3 linked regions of the Bombyx mori genome follow. The protein of the gene in region 2 binds, or shares a complex with, the protein of the main gene of each other region. Links are inferred from orthologs where the notes say so. Each region holds a gene or a part of one and is shown on either strand. Other genes may lie near its edges. The genes, in order: eukaryotic translation initiation factor 3 subunit M, eukaryotic translation initiation factor 3 subunit J and eIF3h.

What was found.
Region 1: eukaryotic translation initiation factor 3 subunit J (region 2) and eukaryotic translation initiation factor 3 subunit M share a complex: the UniProt entries of both Drosophila melanogaster proteins name them as parts of the eukaryotic translation initiation factor 3 (eIF-3) complex. The link is inferred for Bombyx mori from reciprocal best matches to the Drosophila melanogaster genes eIF3j and eIF3m.
Region 3: eukaryotic translation initiation factor 3 subunit J (region 2) and eIF3h share a complex: the UniProt entries of both Drosophila melanogaster proteins name them as parts of the eukaryotic translation initiation factor 3 (eIF-3) complex. The link is inferred for Bombyx mori from reciprocal best matches to the Drosophila melanogaster genes eIF3j and eIF3h.

Annotation. Positions count from the first base shown.
Region 1 is NC_085119.1:6,794,541-6,798,299, forward strand, and holds the start of eukaryotic translation initiation factor 3 subunit M, read left to right. Parts: upstream 1-1,305; 5' UTR 1,306-1,445; coding exon 1,446-1,490; intron 1,491-1,586; coding exon 1,587-1,766; intron 1,767-2,008; coding exon 2,009-2,103; intron 2,104-2,934; coding exon 2,935-3,150; intron 3,151-3,759. UniProt on the Drosophila melanogaster protein: Component of the eukaryotic translation initiation factor 3 (eIF-3) complex, which is involved in protein synthesis of a specialized repertoire of mRNAs and, together with other initiation factors, stimulates binding of mRNA and methionyl-tRNAi to the 40S ribosome.
Region 2 is NC_085125.1:12,538,125-12,541,785, forward strand, and holds the start of eukaryotic translation initiation factor 3 subunit J, read left to right. Parts: upstream 1-798; 5' UTR 799-897; coding exon 898-913; intron 914-991; coding exon 992-1,077; intron 1,078-1,202; coding exon 1,203-1,316; intron 1,317-3,330; coding exon 3,331-3,472; intron 3,473-3,661. UniProt on the Drosophila melanogaster protein: Component of the eukaryotic translation initiation factor 3 (eIF-3) complex, which is involved in protein synthesis of a specialized repertoire of mRNAs and, together with other initiation factors, stimulates binding of mRNA and methionyl-tRNAi to the 40S ribosome.
Region 3 is NC_085110.1:3,930,249-3,934,007, reverse strand, and holds the start of eIF3h (eukaryotic translation initiation factor 3 subunit H), read right to left. Parts: upstream 2,282-3,759; 5' UTR 2,266-2,281; coding exon 2,188-2,265; intron 1,185-2,187; coding exon 967-1,184; intron 859-966; coding exon 699-858; intron 26-698; coding exon 1-25. UniProt on the Drosophila melanogaster protein: Component of the eukaryotic translation initiation factor 3 (eIF-3) complex, which is involved in protein synthesis of a specialized repertoire of mRNAs and, together with other initiation factors, stimulates binding of mRNA and methionyl-tRNAi to the 40S ribosome.

The sequences.
Region 1 (3,759 bases), on a different chromosome or scaffold from region 2:
TGTAAAGATGGGTAGTAGTACTTATGCTGTGATATTAATTTTGGTAATAATTAAGCCTCGTGTGCACAGTGAGATTTTCTACTCATCTAAGAAAAAGTAATAAACATTGACTAACTATTTTGTGTGGGTCTTCATCTAAAGATGTAACAAATAATTCATGGTCACAAGCTACACCCTCTGCTATGAAATATTTGAATAACACTTTGCTGTACACACCAAGGACATCTTCCTCTGAAAAGTAAATAAGGTAATTGAAGTCCTTTCATTGGAATTAATAACAATGCGTTGTGTGAATATAAAAATCATATTAATCTTACTTTCTTAAAATGCAATGTATTGAAAATTAAATGAAGTTATGATAAAAAACTAAATATTTTTAATTTGATTATTTATTAAATTTCATATCCATATTTATTTATTAAATTTGTTTTGGCTCTAAGATATTATGCAATTTTAAAAGAAATTCACGAACCTACAACAAAAATGCTGCCTGCAGGTATTCCTCCACCTAGAAAGTGTAAAATTATATTTATTTTATTGATTTTTGTAAATATATGACAATAAAAACTTTTATAAATTAAATTTGTTCCCTACAATTGTTTAAAATTGATTTGATCTTGTTTTGCCAATCTAATCCATTAAACATAATAGTAAAACTTACCAACTATATGGTCTAAGGATGGAATACCGGAAGATACGTATGGTAGGTTATTTTTCACTTTTGTGCCATTTATATGCGTACTTATATCTATAAATTTTCGAAAACTACGCATTTTTTATTAATATATCAAGCCGATTTCTGTAAAATATTGTTTATCGATTAAAATTCACTACCTACGATGTAGGTATTTTTCTTTTTGAAGTTTTTGTGATTTGGTAACAAGACCTTTAAGCCAGATGTAGGTTTACAAATTTACGAGATATAGTTGCCACGATAACGGGTCTTTACCAATAAGTTACTGTTTTAAAATACCATTTGAAACGTAGTTTATGCATTTCTGACAGTAAATTCCTAATTCAACTGAATTTTTTATTAAAAGTCACAATTACTGTTTAGTGGTTTAGTGTCGGTATATTTCTTAAATTGTGTAGTTTTGTTCTTATCAAATGCCATAAGTATTACAGTGGATGTGTACTGTGAGGAACAAGGCACAATATTGGAGAAGCTCGGGAATCATATAATTTCCAAATTGAAGTCACACTAACACCTTATAATGCTCACGTTGCAATTCATTTCTCTTTATATCATTTTTCATAAAAACAATATACAAAAGATTAGGCTATATGTTATGATACCTTTGCCCTCTCAGTTGGAAAAACTAGAAATACTACTCTATTAACTGTCATATCGTTTGCCACATTTCGTTGCTAAGAAATCGTTCTTGCATTCACTTTAATGCTTATAAATAATAAATAAAAGAATACAGTTCAAAAAAGGAATTAAAATGCAAGGGCCAGCTGTGTTTATGGACATATCCCTGGAAGATCAGGTCAGTTTATGTCAACATAACCTGTCGTTCAAAACAAATTATTTGCTGCAATGTGTCTACATGCAAATTTTAATAAAATTTCTTTCTTGATTGAAGGCACTCGAACTGAGAAGATATTTTAAGAGCCTTGGCGCCGAGATTTCAGAAGAAAAATCACCTAAGGGCATTGAGGATGATCTGCATAAGATCGTTGGGGTTTGTGATGCTTGTTTCAAAGAGCCGAGTGAATCGGACATCGAAGCCATTCTGAACAGTATTGTCTCTATTATGGTTTCTGTAAGTTGAACGCAAAAGCTATAGTTATTTTTAATAAGAAACATCTAGGTGTACTTTAGCATTAATTAGAGTACTAAGCGGTAGGCAGCGACTTGGCTCTGCCCCTGGCATTGCTGAAGTCCATGGGCGACGGTAACCACCATCAGGTGGGCCGTGTGCTCGTCAGCCTACAAGGGCAATAAAAATAAATGTTTGATAGTTGACTCGCATACTTACATATATATTGCAACTAATATTCACAGATACCATTAGAAAGAGGAGAAAACCTTATCTTAGCATTTAGTCAAAGGCTCACTAAGGCTCCTGGCCCTAAACTTGGAATGGTAGCTTTGCAATCGTAAGTATATAGAGGTTTTTTTAACTATGCAAGTAACCTTTATTATTCAACCAACTACATCACTTATCAGATCTTAGTTACAAAGATTTAAGTGAAATCACAGGTTTAAATCCATCATGACATAGGGAATAAGGCTTTTTATTTCTTGCCCATAAATGTTTAAAAATGAATGTTGCAATTTTTATTTTTTTATAATTTATTTAAATGTCAAATAAACAATATTTTAAAATCATTAAGGACAGAAAAAAATGTGTCAAATAAATTTACTTATTTTTGGGATTAAATGGATCCAATGTACATGTCTTCACTACATAGTATAAAACAAAGTCTCTTTCTCTGTCCCTATATCCCTATGTATGCTTAAATCTTTAAAACTACGCAATAAAATTTGATGCAGTTTTTTTAATAGATAGAGGCATTGAAGAGGAAGGTTTATATGTATAATAACATCCATTAAATAGTGGAGAAATCAATAATAAATTACAGTTTCCGAAGCGAAGCGAGGGCGTGTCGCTAGTAAAATATAATAAAAATAGATCCTAGAATTCCAAATTGGTATTTTATAGAATTGAAGCAGAATATGTATTAATGATTGTTAGGGAAAAATGCATAAGGCTTACAGAAATGCTTGATGCTTGTGTGTGAATGGAAGTATGATTAAGTAATAGTATATTCATCAAAAGTTTTAATTGTGGCACAAAAAGTGGAACTGCTGACAGGAAAGTAATGAAAAAAAATTTATACCAAATAATCACCCAGCAGTATTTAGTTTAGGACAATCACTTTCATCCACATGAAAGATAGTAATTTTGCAAAATGTTTGTTTCATAGGTTATGGAGACTTTACAACAACTTAGAACCCAACTCACCTCTAAGATACCATGTATATTATCATGTCATAGAACTGGCTGCACGAGTTGGATTTGTCAGGGAAGTCTTCACTGGGGTTGAGCAGCTTAGGAAAGAGTTTGCTAACTGCCCACCCTCTAATGAACAAATGCAGAAATTGTATCGGCTTTTACATCAAGTGTTAAAAGACCAAAACAGGTATGTTCTCACTACATTAAATTTATTAAACAATGACCATATTATTTCTATGAGTGATGTACCAAAGTCTGATTGCTTGTTAAGGAAACATTGTTATTAATATTTCTCAAAATAGCAAACATATTTCACCAAAAGAGATTCTATGTTTAGAATTATGTTTTGCTATTTGAAAATTATTTTAGTACTATTCATTTTGTGTTATTTTTTTTTTTTTTATTGCTTGGATTGCTGGACGAGTTCACAGCCCACCTGGTGTTAAGTGGTTACTGGAGCCCATAGACCTCCACAACGTAAATGCGCCACCCATCTTGAGATATAAGTTCTAAGGTCTCAAGTAAGTTGCAATGGCTGCCCCACCCTTCAAACCGAAACGCATTACTGCTTCACGGCAGAAATAGGCAGGGTGGTGGTACCCACCCGCGCGGACTCACAAGAGGTCCTACCACCAGTAATTACGCAAATTATAATTTTTGCGGGTTTGAATTTTATTACACGATGTTATTCCTTCACCGTGGAAATCAACCGTGAACACTTGTTGAGTACGTATTTCATTAGAAAAATTCGAACACCGGGTGCATCAACACGAATGCACCGGACCTCTTATCTCTT
Region 2 (3,661 bases):
GCAAATTATTCAGGCTGACCACCATGAGCTCGTTCTACACGTAGCCATAAGTAGGTCAAAAAAAAGGACGAGTACGACATCAAACACGCAACAACCAATACCTCAATTCCGTCCACCCCAGTGCTACACCGCTCAGCGTTGAGTGCATCTCAACATGCTCTAACACCATCACACACAAATGTATGTACTGTCTGGTGTTTTTAAATGCGTACAAAAATATTTCTGTCAATACAACACATCAGAGAAAACTATAATAGACTCAAATCTATTTTTTGTGATGTAGGGATAGCTGGCGGTCCCAAGGTCTTTCTAGTTTCAATAGCTAAAACGGCTAAATGAGTACGAAATAGTCTTGGGAGCTTCAAAATACACAACGAGAACACTCTTTTTAATTAGGAAAATACATTATTTTACTCTTAAATTAAAATACAAAACAATTTTTTTAAACTTGTAATATTTTTCTATTCGTTTCATTTCACCATTTATACTGATAGCTGACAAGATTTTTCATAAAATGATCCTGTATAGGCTAAGACCCTTTCGCCTGTTTCGTGAGATAAATAAAATATAACACTGTCGGCCATATTGAAAATTTTAGTAAATCGGGAATTATCGTCTGCAATGGATTCTTACTTTTCTAAATCAATTTGTGAACATACGTCTGTTGGGGCTTCGCCAATATTATGTCATTTGTTCATTGTTTTTCAATCCGACCGTGATAATTGCAGAAAATCGTCTTCAGTTTGACGAATTACACTCGAGTTTTGTTGTTGTCTAGAAAACGACGACTCTGGAGACATCTTGTGAGTGATAAGTCACTGTCGATAGTTGTCCGATTTTGGTGTTCAGGTGAAAAGTTTTCATATTAATTCAGCTGCTGATTCTGGAGTCCTAAAAATGGACGTGTCATGGGGTACGTACTGTTTAATACAATAACAAAATAGATTTTATAAATATCTACATTCGTAATGTCAATCGTGGTACATTCCAGACGCAGATAACTTCGAGCCCAAACTCCCGACCACGTTGGCAGCTTCCAACAAATGGGAAGGGGAAGACGAGGATGATAACGTAAAGGTAATCATTGGTGTGCCAAGTAGTTTGTATACAGTGTTCTAACTTCTAAATGTATTACGAATCTTCTCAAAACAGTACATAACCTAAATGACTGCCTACGTGTTGACGTCAGACTTTATTCGCAGGAAAGCTGGGAGGATGAGGAGGAGGAAAAGAAAGACGAAGAAAAGACTGAGGCAGCGCCACCTCCACAACCGAAACCTAAAAAGAAAATACACGATAAAATAGCCGAAAGAGAGGTATAGTGCTTTTAAAACATATGTTTAATGATTTAGAGATTTTATAGTCTAAACTCTACTAGAATAGCTTCTAGTTTATAGAATAGATAATTATAATTATATGGTAACATAAATTACTACCCATTTAGTGGTATTTTAACACATGAACTTAATAGTTTTGTTACACATAAACTTGGTAATGTTGAGCATTGTTGAAGCCAATTGCATCCTCTATTAACCAAAAGTTGTCTAAAAATAATTTTAAAACATTTAATTGCATTGTATACATACCAAAAATAGAAATAAGATTTGAAGGAAAAATAATATATGTAGTCTATTGTAAAATTTAAGACTTAATATATAGACACTGATATTTATTGCCTGCTTCGCCATGATCATCCATCTAGTGGAATAGATAAAATATGCACTCCATTTGAAATCAGTTTAAATGTTCTTTTTTTTATAATACCAATCACTGGCAAATTATCTTAATTATCATCTTCTTCTTTGTTCTTTCTCTCTCTGCTGGGGTGTAGGGCTCGAATCATATTCTTTCGTTTGCAGTCAATGGTATTTTTTTAATTAATAGTGAAGAAAAAACTGATAAATAAAAAAAACTAAATCTGTTGACAAACAGAAGAGAAAATTTTATTTAGCTTTTTATTGTACCCATCTATGTATAAATTAGATTCACATAATCATTAGATACCTATCGAGTTTAACATTAGCCAGTGTTTGTCTAAAATTTGTTTTGCAAAAGTCATTGACGCTTATTTATATAAAATTCGTGGAGATAACTTATTATATTATGAAATTACAGTAACTGTATGTACTGCTCTGATGCAAATTTCAACTATAAATATTTACACAAAAAATAATTAAAAAGGACAAGTTAAATACAAATAATTTATAATAAATATCAAGGTTCCAGTATGCATAAAGAAGGTTAACAAGATAGATTACTCATGGATTATCATCACCTTGCAATTAATATTAAATTCATTTGACAGCATAAAATATCAGAATAATAATTAAAATATATTAAGAACCCATTAATTATTAATATTTAAAAAACAACAGAAAAGAAATCTGGTGCTAGTGAGGGTGTTCCTGTTAGGTAACATAAAAAGTGGAATTTAAAAATAACATTTTGCTAGCAATTGTTCACTCAGTAATGATAGCTGACGATCCCACTCAGTCATCATATATCATCTTCCTTGACATATTGTGTGTCAACATCTGGTTATGACTGATTATGTGCTCAAATATGGTTAGGGAAGCCACATTTTGTCTTGAAGGGTCTGTTGCAGGGTGCACAATACAACAGCCCATCAGCATTCTACATAAAGTATAGGAGGAAGGCCAAATTTTGTATACACTTTTTTTTTTCAAATCTTGAGACAGCTTTGTGAGCATATCTGTATCATTCTGGACTCCGTTGTGTGCGATATTAGACACAGTTGGATGACATTCTAAAACATCCCCTGTAACATTAGCATTGCCCTCCAGGTGCTCACTGTTCATAATTCAGCTGTTAGTAAAAGACAAATCTAGGAAACTTAGAGTCATCCACACTTGTTGGAAGTGCTTCAATACTATTTACCTTCATCCTCAATATCTCAGTTTGAGACTTGATCTTGCCGCTTTATGCAAAGTATGGATGTTACACACTTTATGTTGATGGTGTTGCTTGATATCACCTCTGTAGTCCTGGTGGCATAAAGCGTATTGCTTTATTACCTTATATACAGCGATCATTGTGTGCAGACAAAGGTCATGTGAGGCCCTGACTCTTTTGCACAGCATTCAACACCCTTTGCAATTCATGAGGAATTTGTATTAAAATTTTGTATAGGGTATGACAATATTAAGTTAAAGGTTAACTTACATCATGTTTGGGATAATAACCAAATCTAAAATACGATAATTCACCAGAAAAATGAACATAGTTTCATAACTTCATAGAATTGACAGGCTATAGTTGCTCTTGAATTGATATAATATCCATAATATTTAAATTATAAAATTTTACTAGCGACAAGAACGTGAGAAGGCTGAACGTCTCGTGACAGAGAAGACTGCAGAAGAAATGACTCCAGAGCAGAAGTTGGCTGAGAAACTTCGCCAGCAGAAGCTACAGGAAGAATCAGATTTGCGACTAGCCATGGAAACCTTTGGTATGCTTGATTGATTTGGTGTGCTCGTATTACAGTTTGTGGATTCCAAAATAAGATTCATTTTAAGCAATAATTAGTAGACATTCTAAAAGAGGGTTTATAATCCCTAATATAATGAAGTTGTTGTGGCCTAATGGATAAGATGTCCGGTGCATTCGTGTTGAGCGATGTACCGATGTTCGAATCTCA
Region 3 (3,759 bases), on a different chromosome or scaffold from region 2:
CGCCTTCCTTGTACATAGCAATAGCCTGTAAAGTAAGTATTAACCTCAATTTTACATATATTCTTATTCATACATGAACACCCAACTATACATAATGTTTTCACAATATAAATATAAAAAAAAAACAACAATAATTTACTTGCTTGTTGATGAGCATATTGTGAGTCCAAGTTACTATTATTTCTGCACGTAATAATAATGTGTTTAAGGATTGAGAACAGTCTTACATCTTAAGACATGTGTATAAGAACATACATTACCATCCTCTTTATATTTGCTGGGAATCATACATTCATTCTGGTTTAATGGTGAGACATCAAATATATTTTTTTTTATTATTTTTATTGCCTTTGTAGGCAGACGAGCATACGGCCCACCTGATGGTGAGTGGTTACCATCGCCCATGGACTTCAGCAATGCCAAGGGCAGAGCCAAGCCGCTGCCTACCGCTTAATGCACTCATGTTGTGATATCTGCAGGTTGCATGGACCACTTAGATAGTATCCCCATAAAAAACATTTAAAATATCTCAAAAATATAGATTCTGCCATTCACTTAGCATTAACAAGTGATAACTTCACTAAATATACGTAATATAAATAAATAAAATAGCTCAACTTCAGAAATTAGTTCTGTCATAAAGCTCAATTAACAACATTAGCACTTTAAAATGTGTATAGTTATGAGAGCTTAATTACCTGAGGTGTCAAACGATAGGCCTTCAAAGTCAAGAATCCTCTGGCTGATTTCTTTGTATCGTAAATCACAACAACACTCTCCTCAATAGAGGTCTGATAGTGATATTGTGACTCTAATAACGAAAGGCTTAGAAAATTGCCTACATCTGCACTCTGGTACCTGAAGAAAGATATGAGGTATAAGAAAAAAGAAAGTTCTGCTGTTCTAATTTAAAATATTGTATGACATATTTTGACATACTATAAAACAATTTTCAATATTAATTACCATCCAACATGAAAATGATCAACATTGACTCTTCGAAGCCTCCTCATCATGTCCAACTGGTATTCCTCCTCATCCATGGTGTCGTCATGCTTTGGAAATGGGAAGCAGTTGGTAATCTCCAGACGGTTCTCAACGACCAAACCAAGGAGAGCTCCCTGAGCCACCTCCATGTTGCTGCATGATTCTTCATGACAGTGTTTCACTATTTTCATCACTGCCTAAAATAAAAAGCACAAATATATTATAAAAGTGGGAGCAGATCTGTCATTTCAAATGCTTGAGTTAGTTCGATGAGGATTTGTTTGATTACCACATATTAAACTGTTTTACCACTACTTTAAGCATGTTTCAACTAAATAACTTCAGAGAGGATATTATTCAAGGCAAGTTAAAATACACTTTAATGTGTAACAAGTTTAACAAAACAAATTAATACCTACCCATCCCTAATAAATTATTGCTATATTAACTTTCTGTGTATGTGTAGGAAATCAATCAGCTTGCTATTTGCAATCAATCAGAACAAAAACTAATCTCAATCATTTACAGTTAGGAAACTATAAAATTATCAGTAAATAGTAGTATAGTATATAACAAAAAATGACTTCACATATACTATCAAGATCTAAACTTTGTAATGAAGCATAGTTTAAAACACTAATTATATAGTTCAGAGAAAATTTAATGTTTTAGATGTACAGTTAGGTGAGATCATCCTCCTATTTCAATGACCCCCGGGCTCAGGGCAAATGTCCCAAAACAGTCAATGACTCAACAACGTTTATATGTTGTAAACAGAAATAAAAAACCTTTGTAGTCTTTTATTTTCTTTTTATATCGAAAGTTTTTTGGTTCATAGAATCCTATAGAAATTAACATAACGAATTATTCAAGGTTTGGTGAATTGTCAACGTTTGCCCGATTTATTTAAAAAGAAACGAGAGCACAAAATTGAAAACATAACCTATACAATTATCTTTATTATTGCAACGGCAACCTATTTTATTGTAATCTAAGATCTCCTAAAATCATACAACACGAATCATGTTCCAGATCATAATAATCCACCTTAATTGACGATGTTTACTTCTATATATTAATTAAATGGTAAAAATACATGACGTGTCGAGGCACGAACTTTCACAAAGTTTTTAATTTAAAACCTACAGTTGACGTCCGTCTCAGAGAACCTATCTAAACTTTAATTTTAAATTTACTTACCAGTCCATCGCACTGAACATATTGGATCGTCGCTTCATTTTCAGGAGCGCGTCTAGCTGAACCAGCACGGCTCGCCATTTTTAATTCACAAGAGAACGTTTGATTTGATTACATTTTAGTGTAGCTCTCCAAATCGACTATCAATAGCTATCGATAATTGTAATCGATACCTTATTTGCAATCGACACTATACGACAGATTAGCCTTTAAAAATACTACCACGAATATCACATCTCGATTAAACTTAAACACTGTTGGAACTATATACCAGTTTTTACAAATTTCTGGGTTTTAAAAAGAGTAGGTATACGAAGACATACACACGCTAATGAGATTAATATAGTAGTTTTTATATCCCAGTTACAATGCAATAAATAAGTGCCGTAATTTTGCGTATTGTACTATGGATCACAATGATAGTTAATCCTAATGTTTACGGTATAAATGTAAAACAATTAATGCATTATGATCTTGTAAATATTCTTTAACAAATCCATTTTTAGTAATGATAAAAATTAAGGTTTAAAAGATTTTTTATTTATATGATAAATCTCAAATGTTGTTCAATCTTTTTCTATTATCCATGTATAAATTGTATTACATTCTTACAGATTTTGAATTAAAAAAAATACTATAAAGTTAAGTGATATGGCTCGAATTACACTTATAGACGTGAGGTCTCATTATTTGCTTTAATAAGGAAGTGGTATCAATTCGCGTTATCGCTGTATTTATATTTTACCGTTCGTCAATTTGTAATTAATCGTTTATTTATTAGGTTGTACCTTATGGAACATTTTGTTAACTTACGACTTTTGCTTAAGACTCTCGCTCTACAAAGCACAGGTCCGGCCTCGTGTGGAGTACTACTCCGACCTCTGGGCCGGGCTCCCAAAAACCAGCTACTTCCATTTGACTCTATACAGAAGAGAGCCGTTCGGGGGCTCCCAAATACCAGCTTCTTCCATTTGACTCCATACAGAGGAGGGCCGTTCGGATTGTCGATAATCCCATTCTCACGGATCGTTTGGAACCTCTGTGTCTGCGGAGGGACTTGGGTTCACTCTGTTATTTTGCACCGTATGTTCCATGGGGAGTGCTCTAAGGAATTGTTAGACATGAAACCATCATCTCGTTTTTACCATCACACCGCCCGCCACCGGAATAGAGTTCATCCATAATTCCTGGAACTACTGCGGTCATCCACAGGGCGTTTCCAGAGATCTTTTTGCCACGTACCGTCCGGCTTTGGAATAAGCTCCCCTCCACGGTGTTTCCCGACAACTATAACAACGCCTTCTTCAAACGAAGCTTGTGGAGAGTATAAACTGGTTGGCAGCGGCCTGGCTCTGCCCCTGGCTCTATCCATGGACGACAGTAACCACTCACCATCACATGGGCCGTGTGCTCGTCTACCTACAAGGGCAATAAAAAAAACAAAGCTTAGAACTATGTGGTGAAAAAATTTGTTCCTGTTGTGCAGAATTGATTATTTCAAAGCTTAAAACGAATCTTTTACTAATTAATTTTCTATTGTTTTGCTTGGCTCGATGAGTAAATTTTACCCTACAG